Mus musculus: one gene and its partners. The protein of the gene in region 2 interacts with the protein of the main gene of each other region in a pairwise test. Links are inferred from orthologs where the notes say so. Each region holds a gene or a part of one and is shown on either strand. Other genes may lie near its edges.

What was found.
Region 1: the proteins of Acy3 (region 2) and Pmm2 interact in binary tests that used the Homo sapiens proteins (3 or more experiments, as listed by UniProt). The two-hybrid records come from large-scale screens. The link is inferred for Mus musculus from reciprocal best matches to the Homo sapiens genes ACY3 and PMM2.
Region 3: the proteins of Acy3 (region 2) and Plekhf2 interact in binary tests that used the Homo sapiens proteins (3 or more experiments, as listed by UniProt). The two-hybrid records come from large-scale screens. The link is inferred for Mus musculus from reciprocal best matches to the Homo sapiens genes ACY3 and PLEKHF2.

What each region holds. Positions count from the first base shown.
Region 1 is NC_000082.6:8,651,188-8,654,769, reverse strand, and holds part of Pmm2 (phosphomannomutase 2), read right to left. Parts: intron 3,361-3,582; coding exon 3,245-3,360; intron 1-3,244. UniProt on the Homo sapiens protein: Involved in the synthesis of the GDP-mannose and dolichol-phosphate-mannose required for a number of critical mannosyl transfer reactions.
Region 2 is NC_000085.6:3,985,262-3,989,423, reverse strand, and holds the start of Acy3 (N-acyl-aromatic-L-amino acid amidohydrolase (carboxylate-forming)), read right to left. Parts: upstream 2,855-4,162; 5' UTR 2,813-2,854; intron 2,602-2,812; 5' UTR 2,473-2,601; intron 2,374-2,472; 5' UTR 2,355-2,373; coding exon 2,119-2,354; intron 1,694-2,118; coding exon 1,501-1,693; intron 1,287-1,500; coding exon 1,193-1,286; intron 1,027-1,192; coding exon 919-1,026; intron 819-918; coding exon 709-818; intron 1-708. UniProt on the Homo sapiens protein: Plays an important role in deacetylating mercapturic acids in kidney proximal tubules. Also acts on N-acetyl-aromatic amino acids.
Region 3 is NC_000070.6:11,004,753-11,008,968, forward strand, and holds the start of Plekhf2 (pleckstrin homology domain-containing family F member 2), read right to left. Parts: upstream 2,868-4,216; 5' UTR 2,641-2,867; intron 1-2,640. UniProt on the Homo sapiens protein: May play a role in early endosome fusion upstream of RAB5, hence regulating receptor trafficking and fluid-phase transport. Enhances cellular sensitivity to TNF-induced apoptosis.

The DNA of each region.
Region 1 (3,582 bases), on a different chromosome or scaffold from region 2:
GGCCACTGTCATGACACTGCAATGGCCCAGTAACAGTATCCGAGCAGACAGGAAGAAAGAAGGCAGGGTGGGGACTACAAAGTAGGCAGCAGTCTGAGTGAGTCCAGCAGCAGGTAGAGAGATCTGCACAGGAGTCTCAGAGGAAGTCTCAAGTGGGATGGGCGTCTGTAAGCACAGGACCTCTGTAGAAAGCACACAGCAGGCACTTGGAAGCATCCACTGCAAAACACACAGGGACTGACTTCATATCCCGCCTCGGCCCTTACCATCTGAGCGTCAGTCAGCAAACCAATCCCTCTTACTCCTTTCAAAACTGGAAAGAGTAAGAGTTACTGCCCTAAACTTGCCCTAAACCTTGGATTCTATGAACAGCAAAATGTCCTGGTTGAATCAGCGCAGGCAGTGACTGCCCACTGTGAGGCTGTGCCCGGAGCACCCCTCTCCTGAGAACCACATGCAGAGCGAGAGCTGCAGCTGGCTGCACATTCTTTCACTTTTGCAGACCTCCTCCCCCCCATGTGATCAACCCTGCCTCTTTAGAGCAGGGGAATGGCTTTAAACTGACATAGCTCAGCTATAAACCAGAATACAAAAGAGAACAAGCTGTGTGTGTGCATGTGTGAGAGAGTGAAAGAGAGAGAGAGAAGAGGAGAGACAGAGAAAGAGAGATGAGAAAGAGGAAAGAGAGGAGAGAGACAGAGAGGAAAGAGATGAGAAAGAGAGAAGAGAGACAGGGAGGAGGAATACGAGACAGAATCCCATTACTTAGCTCAGGTTGACTTCCAACATGCAATTCTCCAGTCTCTGCCTCCCAAGTGTTAGGATTATAGGAATATACCACCACACCTGGATTCACTTAATAAAAACATGATTCAAAGCAGTGGTAATGCAAGAGGTAAACCGAGTAGCAAACCCTCGAGTCCTATCAGCTTCATTGCATTTTCATCTGCGAAGTTCCAGCAAGGCGTCTAGATGGCATTCCCATACCACATGGGGCTGGGTCGTGATTGCAGAGAAGCCTGTTGTGTGAACATTCTGGGAGAATGGTTGTGCTGTTATTCTACCCTCAGAACAAGGCTGCTTTGCTTCAGAGCTGGCTGGCTTGGAGCACTGTCACAGCTCCTTGGACTAGGTCTATTATCTGGTCAGAGAGCTACATTGTTGTGAAAAACTGGACACGTTTAAGCAGACGCAGACATCTGATCCCAGCTATTCTGATAACCAGTTCCCCAAAGAAACAAACTCAATGCTGTCCTACCTGATAAGACCCGCACCACCTGGGCAACGTGACAGACAGACACACACACTAGCAGAATCTTTACTGCAGCCTACCTAACAGACGCTGCTACTGCCCTCCTCTCTGCTGAATTTATTCATGGCTCACGGAGCTCACTCATGTAAAGACTTCCGAGGACCAGATCGCTAGTCTTTTGGATCTATACTCAGCAGTGTGATTCCTGGATCATAAGAGGTTCTATTTTTGGATTTTTGAAGACCACTCTATATAGTTGTCCATATTGACTGTACCATCTACTGTTCTGAGGTAAAGAGTCACTAATTTCTACCTTCTTCTGTGTGTGTCTATTAAAAATGGCCAGTCTAATAGTAGAATTGGCTCTCACTGTGACCTGGATATACATTCTTATGACCTGTGATTCAGATGTCAACCCTATGTGCTCAGGAGTCCACTGTGTGTCTTCAGACATGTTAAATCAGGTTCTTTGTTTCTATTATTTTATATGTACGGGTGTTTTGCCTGCGTGTGTGTCTGTGCATCACTGTGCCCTGATGCCTACAGAGGACAGAACAGGGCTTCTGATTCCCACGGGACGGGTATTACAGACAGTTGTGAACCACCATATAGGTGCTGGGAACCAAACCCAGATCCGCTGGCAGAGCAGCCGGTGCTCTTCCCTGCTGAGCATCTCCCCAGCCCTTAAATGGAGTTCTTACTTTGCTGCTGAGTTGCAGGAGTCTGGTACATTTTGGATCGACAGATATATGGTTGGTTGAGTATTTGTTCCCTCACATTTCATAGGCTCTTTTGGTTTTTGTTTTGATTTTTAAAGACAGGGTCTATCTGTATAGCCCTAGCTGACCTGAAACTCACCGTGTGGACCAGGCCGGCCTTAAACAGATATCTGCCTGTCTCTGGCTCCCAAGTGCTGGGCCTGAGAGTGTGCACTGCCACCCAACCACAGGCCGCCTTCTCCTGCTGTGCTCTTCTTGCTGAGCAGCAGCAGTGGTTTTGCCCGGTCCAGGCCTGCTTGTTTATTTGGCTTCCGCTGCCCACGACAATGTCCAGAGGCTGCCGCCTATGTTTTCTAAGGGGGGCTGCCATGTCAGCTCAGATAGACAACCAAACACAATGAGCCACAGGCTCACATTCACAGAGGCATTACTTATGGTGACTGAGAGAACAAAAGTCACAAGTCTGCCAAAGGATGGATTAAGTAAACTGCGTACCCATACAGTGCAGGATTATCTAGCCTTAAGAAAGGAGATTCTTATTGTTGATAAATCTGGAGGATGTCACACTAAGTAAGATAATCCACTGTTACCAGGACCCTGCTGCAAGCAGACCTTGGACAGTGTTGATCCCGACAGGGTGAGCAGCTGTCAAAGGGACCAGAGCCGCAGTTGCAGCATTTATGATGGATGCCCTACAGGGTTCACAACGGCTACCATGCCTGAACCAGGATCCTACAAAAAGGTGACATGGGCAGTGCAAGGTGAGAAGCTGACACACAACCGGGACCCAAGGCCAAGCACAGCGCTAAGTAGCTGGTTCTAAAGCACCTCTCAGGCCTTGGGTCGTGGCCGTAGGCAGCTGTGCAGGGAGAGCCTCAGAGGCTGCAGAGTGGCTCTGGGGAAACGACGGCGCTCAGACCTCGTCTATGCTGAACTGGGCTTTCTGCAAGCTCTCACTGTGGTCTCCAGCACTCTGGGTGACACTAGGCAGATGCTCACTTCAAGTTATCCCGACTAACAGTGCGCATCAGACTCAGATAATGCCCCACCTTCCCATGTTTGTTACCCTAGCGTGCAATTTACTATGAACACAGGAGGGAGGGTAGAGCAGAATCATAAAGCAGCAGTAGTGAAGATACTTAATTCAAAGGACACACTGATGACCATCTACAGTCCTTGCTCCCACTGGGCAGGACCTCAAAGCTCTGAGGGGAGGGAGGCCATCAGGTAGGATGCAAGATGGCAAAACAGCACAGGAGACCTTCCTATTTACCGGCATAGTCTTGTCTCCAAAGAAATAAATGGTCTTATAGCCAGCATGTTCCAGGTGTCTCAGGCAATACCGCTTATCCCATCCTTCAGGAAAGACGTCAATGCTGATTTGGCCACCTGCAGGATGGGGAGGATACAAGGCTCAGCAGGGCTGGGGGTGCAGCTTGCCTGGGGCTCCTGAGCACCAGCCCCAGCACAGCCTGGGAGAGGAGGGAGAGAGACTAACACCTTTGGAGAAGGACGCAGCTTGTCTCTTTCATATCCTTGCTCACCACTCCCTGTCACTTCATGGACAGGTCCTCTGCTGCTTTCCCCGTGTCATCTCACCTGGGTCTAAGA
Region 2 (4,162 bases):
AGCGGTTAAGAACACTGACTGCTATTCCTTAGGTACTGAGTTCAATTCCCAGCAACCACATGGTGGCTCACAACCATCTGTAATGAGATCCAATGTCCTCTTCTGGTGTGTCTGAAGACAGTAACAATGTACTCACATAAATAATCTTAAAAAAAAAAGAAAAGAAAAGAAATAATCTTATCAGAATCACTCCTGTATACACTCTCTCTTCTTGGACAAAATACTGAACATGTTTATATTTTTTAAAGTAAAATCTCTAAAATAGCTGTTGTTACACATCATTTGCAAAGCATATGGGCAGGTCTGGCTTAGGATGCTCTCCCAGATGTCATAAATGAGATTAAAACTACTAAGACTGCTGTAGAAAAAGGCTACAGGACTGCACAAGAGCCTGTTTAACAGCGCCCCTTGTGGACAGTCAGCTCCCAGGCATGGAGCTTTTCACATTTCCATGGAAAAAGAATACTTGTACTTCTAAGCAGGTGACTTGCGTCCTGTCTCCTCCCCTTGGCTTCTCCTGTTAAAGGAGGGCAGCATCCACCAGCCTCCCTACTCCACTGTGAAGATTTCAGCTGCTCCAAATGCCAGGCTGGGGCGGGGCTCTAGGTGCAGGTGTGGACTGCACCAACTTCTGGTCCAGCTCAGGATTCTACTAGGGGTTCAGTCGGATGTTCTGGGTACCCCCACCCCGGCTCCCACAACACCAACCTGCAGTTGAGGGTGCACAGTGCCAGCCAGGTCACCATCTGCAGTGCGTGGGAAGTCCACACTGCCCAAGTTCCTGTAGATATCCATCTCAAAGGCGGGTAAGTCCATGCCTGTGTAGAGGCTGTGTGTGACCACTTGTCCCTCTGGTTTCCAGAAGCCAACCCTTTCCTCAGACCTCAGTTTTCCTGAAAAGCTACTGGGGGGTCTCACCTTGGTTGAAGAGCTCGATGAAGTCCAGAATGGATGCCACCAGAGCTCGCATCCGGGAGAACAGGTCGGCCCGCAGCACGCCCTGAGGCTGTGGGCCCATCTCCAGACCTGGGGGGCCAGAAAAGGAGATGTCAGGCAAACGGCCCAGGCCTAGCCATGGTAGGAGGTTCCCCCCCCAATTCTGCTTATTTTCTACCCTTCCTAACTCCGCCCCTCCTGACTCCTCCCCCTCCCTGCCTACTCCTCCTGCTCTCCTTCCCACCCGTCAGCTCACAGATTCCATTCTTGGATATAGATTCCACGCTGAAGGTCTCCGTCCCAGCTGGCTCATACAGAAAGAGGCGGCAGGGCATCCCCGGGTTCTGCCGCTGTGGGGTGAGAGGCACCAGTCAGGACCCAGGCCTTCTTGAGGGGAAACTGAGGCACTGACGCTGGGAAGAGCAGTGTGCAGGAGGCACAGGGTCGTCCACCCTGCCCCACCTCTTTTCCTTGGTTGGAAGGTTAAGGCGAGCCTGGAGTACCTCAGGTGGCACTGGTCCCTCTGCCCCCTCCCCGCCCTCCTTCCTGCCCCCTAGGGACCACCTGTAGGTAGTGGCACAGGTGCAAGTTGAAGGAGATGTTGGATTCAGAGATGAGGCAGACTCCAGTGTTTGCTGTGGTGTTGTGCAGGTCTAGGGTAAAGTCAAAAGCCTGGCCTGTGCCCTTGGGACCCAGCAGCTGGTTCAACTCTCGGGCTCTTTTCACTTCATAGGGGTCATCAGGGGTAGCGGTGGAACTGTGGGGAAAGGAATGGGGGACATCAGTCCCCATCATCTCAGTCTCCCTTTCCTTGGCTAACTTCTCACCTTTGGTGGGGGAGGGGGGAGATTAGCTGGATGCCACCTCCTACAAGAAGCCTTCCCTGACTTCTCTTGGTCAGGCTGGATGCTCCATGTAGTCCCACCTTCACCCCAGTCTTTTTCTGTGCCTCCAGTAACCTGAAGCTGACATGTTGGTCCTGTTCCCCATGTATGTCTCACTTCAGCTGGTAAGAGTCTGGCCTACTGGGCAGACTTCCTGGAAGAGGTGACATTGATCTGGATCTCGCTAAACCATATGGTCATTGAGAAAAGACAGAGATGCCTTGCTAGCCACTGTGACCAGTCTGTAGGGATGCTAGTACCTGGCTGTGGACCGGCCAGCCTGGCTGAGGGTACTCACCCAAGGAAGGTGAGGGTGCAGGAGCGGTTGAGATCACGGTCCAGGTAACGGCAACAGGCAGCTGTGGCTGCTGGGTTGGCCAGAACCGGCATGGCTGAGAAGCTGGGTCTCTGCAGCTCCCCTGGGTTCTGTAGCCAGTACCGGGCCAGGTAGACACCACACATCTCATTCCCGTGGGTGCCTCCAGTCACAGCCACACGGAGCAGGGGCTCCCGGGACCCAGGTAGGGAGGACATCTCCCAGTGTGGGGAAGAACTGCACAAGAGATGTGGAATCTAAGTATCCAGAGCCTGAACAGTAGGGTGAGCTCCCCACAGAAGAGTCTGAGGCAGGGGGATGCCAACTGTGACCCACCTGTACCCAGAAGCCAAGTTCAAGACACCAGCAGCCAAATTTTTGTTCCCCCTTGCAACCTCAGTCCCTCTTCTGGAATGTTCTGAGGGTGAGTGTCGCTCTCCCCACTTTTCTCTCTGAGGACCTAAGCTGAGAAGGGGGACTCAGACATTCAGAAGGTCGACTGTTCCCACCCACACGACTGTCACCACAGAACTATTTTATAGATGGTAAAGCCAATGCCTAGCTTTCCAGGGGGAGAAGACTGTCACCCCCTAAGCTGTGCAGCAAGTGTCTGGATTTCAGGCCACCTCTGCACCCTCCTCTGAACTGGTCGGGAGCCTCTGCCAGAGCCTCTTACCTGCTGGTACGAGCCTGGGCTTCCCTAGGCCACAGGCCTAATGTGTCCACCCCCTAGGAGGCTGTATTTATAGGCCCGCAGGTCCCAGGCAGGAAGTGTTTGTTCCAAGTAGGCGGAGAACTGGAGGCGGGAGGCTGGGCTGGGAGCCAAGCAGCCAAAGTTCGCAGGGCCCCACCCCTATCCCCTAAGCTCCGCCCCCACTCCCATCAGCTTAATGGGTCCAGGTCTCTGGGGCAGGTTCCTGTCCTTGCCCTCTCCTCTTTCCCCCGGAAAAGGGACAGTTTTACTTGCAAGGGTCTCTGGGGACTTCTGCTGGAAGCTGCGCTTGCCCAGAGATTCCTGACTTGGAACCATGTCTCCCAGTCCTCAGAAAGGACTTGGCTTTGCACTGATGAGTACTGGTGGTCCACTGCTTGGTCCTTTAAGGGTAGACAAGGCCTGCCTGGTGTCCACTCCGATCCATGCAGAGAGGTGCTTTCCTTGAGGCTACTTAAGGCAGACAACAGTGGGCAGTGACTTGATTTTGGCCACAGCAGCCCTGTACTTTGGGGGCCACCGGAAAAGGAGTCCTCTTCCCTGCCACCTTCCCCTGCACCGGCCTGTCTTTGCAGCCCACAGCCACCTATTTAAAGCTGTGATCTATGAGGTTCAAATCTTACAGCTCACTGATGCTTCAAACAAAACCGCAAAATGTTTTGCCTGGTCTTTGTGATGGCCTTCAAGGACACTGTAACTGAAATGACTTTGTTTACTCTGCTTTGGAAAACAACCCTCAGGCCCAGTCTACAGATGTGGAAACTGAGGCTCAGCAGAGGAGCAAAGGGTACACTGAACACAGGGGACAGTTGGAACTGGAAGACAGAGTGATCCTTTCCATTCCCTGAGACCTCCGTGGGGGTCCTGGGGAAGTCCTGGTTCCCTGACCCTCAGCTGTCCCTCCTACTGAGCTCAGCTGTCCTCTGGCAGGAGGCAAGCACTGTTCAGAGGTCGCTGAGGAGAGAGGCAGTGAGCCATGCAGCCCACTGAACCATCGGATTAACTATGCCTACTGACTGCACTTGGCCTCCAAGGTCAGGCCTTGTGTTTCAGGATGTCCTGACATCCGGCAGGAACTAAATCACTCTCGCTGTAGGTCCAAGCTTACAAGACAGTTTGGACATTCTGGGTGGCAACCTTATCAGAGCTGCTTAGATCACACTCTAGCCTGAGTCTGCTCTCTTACCCTCCCCCACCCCATGGCACTGTCACTGTGGGGACAGTGGAGCCCTGTGGCTCACCTTTGTTCTCACGAGGCCTGCCAGCTGTCCTTTGGCGAAGAGCTGGAAGCGTGCAGTGTGGCCCTGGGCGCCC
Region 3 (4,216 bases), on a different chromosome or scaffold from region 2:
TTAAACTGATTTTTTTCATCCTTTTGTCCATCCACAGCTTCTCTCCATCACAACTATCCATCAGTCTATTATCTGCTTGGAAATAGTTAATTGTGTCTAAAAAGAAAACACACACACAAATTCAAGCCCTTCATCCGCCAACTGAATGGAGTTTGTAGTGCGTAGGGCAGACGACGGAGAAGCTTAGCTATCCCACGGATAAATGACAATTTAGTAAGTTTATGAAGACTATTTACAGGGAACCATCTAAGCCTCCCCTGAGCATCTGCTCCATTCTGGCTTGCGGAAGATGGACAAGCAAATGGGACCTCACATGAGGCCTGCCGTCAAGGGCGTGCCATTACAGACCTAGGTGGTAGGTCTAGGACGCCTAGGGTTGAATCCAATGGAGAAAGAGGAAGCTGGTCTGCACAGTGGGTGGGAAAGCATCAAAGAGGGCAGGTTTGAGGGTAGATTTGGTTTTGGTTGGTTTTGAGACAGTCTCACTATGAATCCCAGATCAACCCCTCAGCAATTTGGCCTCAGGGTGCTGGGATTACAGCCGTGCTCCACTACACCCCCAGCTTCCACAAAAAGTTTTTAAGAAGAAAACAGTCAGTATCATACCCTTGCATTATCAGCTCTTTAGCAGACAGTTCTACTGAAGCCTGAATTAGGATAAGTGAAGAAACGAGATGGGCAAGAGAATGCCCACACAGGGATGAGTTATGCCATGCTCTAGAAACGATCAGATGGCTGCAGACTGACTACTAAGATTTGTGATATCAGGCTAGTAACTTCTTTCTGATAAATAATTTTTGGTCCAAAAAATAAATATATATCAAATGGAAGTGACCTGACAAGGGAGCAAAAATTAAAGAAAAATTTAAAGAAAGTTGGCATACCTAAGAAAGTACTTTTACCTACTAAACACTAAAAAGAGGGGCAGGGATGGCTCTGTGGGGTAAGGCTCTGAGGCCAGGCCTGACAGCCTCAGCTCTATCCTGGGGCAGAAGGTGGATGGAGAAGCAACTTCCAAAGTTATCCCTTTGACCTCCACAGTTGTGCCATGTGCCCACACAAATGTACACACACACACACACACACACACACACACACACGATATAATTAAAAATAGAGGGGTCAGAAAAGTGGCTCAGAAAGTAATGATAGCAGCTGGCCCCCAAGCCTGACAACCTAAATTCCATCCCCATAATCACATGGTGAAGAGAAGAAACTCAGGAAATTTGTCTTCTGACCTCTCTGCGTGAGGTCTGGGGCTGCGTGCCTCCTCCTTCCCCACATAGTAGAATGATTTTAAAAAACTAAAGAGTAAAAAAGGAAAACCACCACGGCTGTTTACGGCTTCTGCATTGTTAAGAGTCTTTTCAGCCCATTTAACATAATTTTAAAGCCGCCTTTATTTTTTTAAGGGTATTTATTTACTAGGCTACTTCATGCTGTACACCAGTTTCATTTGGGGGCAGGGGCGATTATAAAGAGCTTTCCAAATAAGCAACTTAATACCATTCACCTCCCAATGCTCTCATGACCCATAGTGATTAAAAATAGCCTGGGTTAATTCTGATTTAACCTGGGTCCTCCCACCCCTTAAGCTATAAAGGTACAAAGATAGGGGCTCAAAACTCATGCACCTTTAAGGAACGAAAAGGAAAAAGAATAAAAAAAAAACTGAATCGTCAAAATCACCCTAATCTGTTTGTTGTGGTCCTGGGGTTGTTTGTTTCAGACTCAAGCTGTAGCCAAGGCTGGCCTTGAACTCGCGGCAATGCTTCTGCCCTAGCCCGCGGGAGTGCTCAGAAAACCGGCATGAGCCAACACACTGGGTTATTTCACTTAGTCTTAAGACAACACATGCCTTAACGTTTCAACTGAACGTTCAACTCTAAATGGTTCTTTAACGAGTCTCTTAGGCAACATATTAAAACATAACAAAGAAGGCATTTACCAGTTTAATGTACTTGGGAGTCTGAATTACTGCTTAGGTGTATGTAACCTGAATACTAGTCATTTCCACTGCACACTCACACAACTTACTGCTTTAATATTCGAGGACTATACAAGGCTACTCGAGCAACTTGGGGAACCAGCTCTTGGCCTTTAATAACATTAAAAAAAAAAAAAAACTAGGCAAAAGATCATAAAACTTAAAAAAAAAAAACCCTTCAAGTAGCGTGTAAGCTACCGCTCCTATCTGAGCCAATTGTACGGTGCCATTTTCATATAAAGTCATAAAATAAACTGCTGGAGTCAGAGCGTGCCCCTGACGCCCAGACCCTGCAAAGTTTTCAGACCGCACGATCTGGGGACCCGAGTCCTGCTGCCCCACAACTTCGGGGGCGACGCGAGGTCCAGTCCCCAGCCGCCGTCTATGGTCCCGGCCCTGGCCCTCCGGGCGGCGTCCCGCGGACGGGCGCGGCGGGACCCAGGCGGTTCCAGCCCGAGCGCCGGCCCGGAGGGGAGCCGCCCGAGCGCCCCGTTTCCCACAGACCCCAACATGGCGTCGGCCGCCGCCGCCCGCGCCAACCCCTCCCCGCGCCACGGCTGGCCCGGGCCCGCGGGGATAGGCGCCCGCAAAGTTTCGCTTCTCCCTCCCCAGCCCGCCGCCGCCCGGTGCGTCCCGACCCCCATGGCACCTACCCGACCCCGCGCGGGCGGCGGCGCCGAGGGTGCGAGTCCTCCTAGTCGCCGACTCCGGGCGCGGACTCCGCCTGCTCCCCGACCCCAGCCTCGCAGGGTTGCGTGGGGCCCCGCGAGGCCGGCGCGATCCGGACGCGGCGGGCGCAGCCGCTCGCAGGTGACTTCACCGCCCCTCCAGTCGAACCCGACAACGGCCGCTCCGGCTGGCTTCCCTCCTGCGCGCGCACCGGCGCGCCCCCGCCCAAGCGCCAAACACGGGCACGAGCACACCCGCCCTGCCCTTTCTTCCCGGCTCCCTCGCCCCGCCCATCGCCTTGCCCCGCCCCTCCATCCCCACGCGACCGCACGGGGGGCGGGCTCTTCAGCGGAGGCCACACCCACTCGGGGGCCTCCCCCGGCGGGGTTGGGGAACGCGCGCCTCTGCAGAGGTGACGCGCGTCTGAGCCAGCTGAGGCTGGACTGGGTCGCCTGACCTGACTTTCCTGACTCGGGCTAGCCTTCGGAAAGGGCTCTTAAGCAGTCCGCGAAGTTCTCTGGAAGAATGGGCGGAAGCTGCCTCCACGCCTCCCGCCCTAAGGAACAGGAAAGGCTTTGCTTCTCGCCACCCAACCGCGTCTGCCAACCCCGCCCGGCTCGGCCATTCAGCCGAACACCTGCTGTCGCTTTCTCCCAAGCCAGGGGTCTGCGCTTACCGCACCCATGACCCGCAGGCTCCTGTGTAACCTTATGCCGAAGAACTCCGCTCTTTTCAAAACTTCCCCTCGGCCAACTGCTTCGCGTACCTAGAACTCGGTGCTACCATGACGCTGGGTTAGAAGAGCGTTTACTAGGCGCTGCGGAGAGATAGCAGAGGCATCTAGGCTGGCTGGCTGGGAAAAGCACACCGTTTAAACAGGAAAGGGGTAGAAATTGGGTTATTATTAAAGTTTTATTCAGGAATTTTCTTTTTAGCCTCCTGTTGAGCAGTTCTCAACCTGCGGATCACAGGAGTCGCCTAAGACCATCGGAGAACATATTTTGCATTATGATTCATAACAGCAAAATTACAGTTATGAAGTAGTAACAAATAATTATATGGTGGAGACCACCGCAATAGGAGGAGCTATATTAAAGCATTAAGAAGATTGAGAGCTGCCGGGCGGTGTTGGACACGCCTTTAATCCCAGCACTTGGGAGGCAGAGGCAGGCGGAATCCTGAGTTCAAGGCCAGCCTGGTCTACAGAGAAACTCTGTCTCGAAAAACAAGAAGAAGAAGAGGAAGAGGAAGAAGAATGTCTGTGAAACAAATACAGTTGTTTTAAATTAGTATCCAGAACAAAACTGGCAAAGGAGATCAGTTGTCGTAATAGGGATAGTTACAGGATTTCAATCGTATACACACACAATCTTTATGTGTGCTAGACTAAGCACACTCTAAAATCTTTTTAAATTTTAAGATTAGGAACTGCTGTGTTTCTAGTGTCATCAATAAAAATGTTGCTCTTCGAATGCCTTTAATCCCAGCACTCGGGAGGCAGAGGCAGGCAGATTTCTGAGTTTGAGGCCAGCCTGGTCTACAGAGAGTTCCAGGACACCC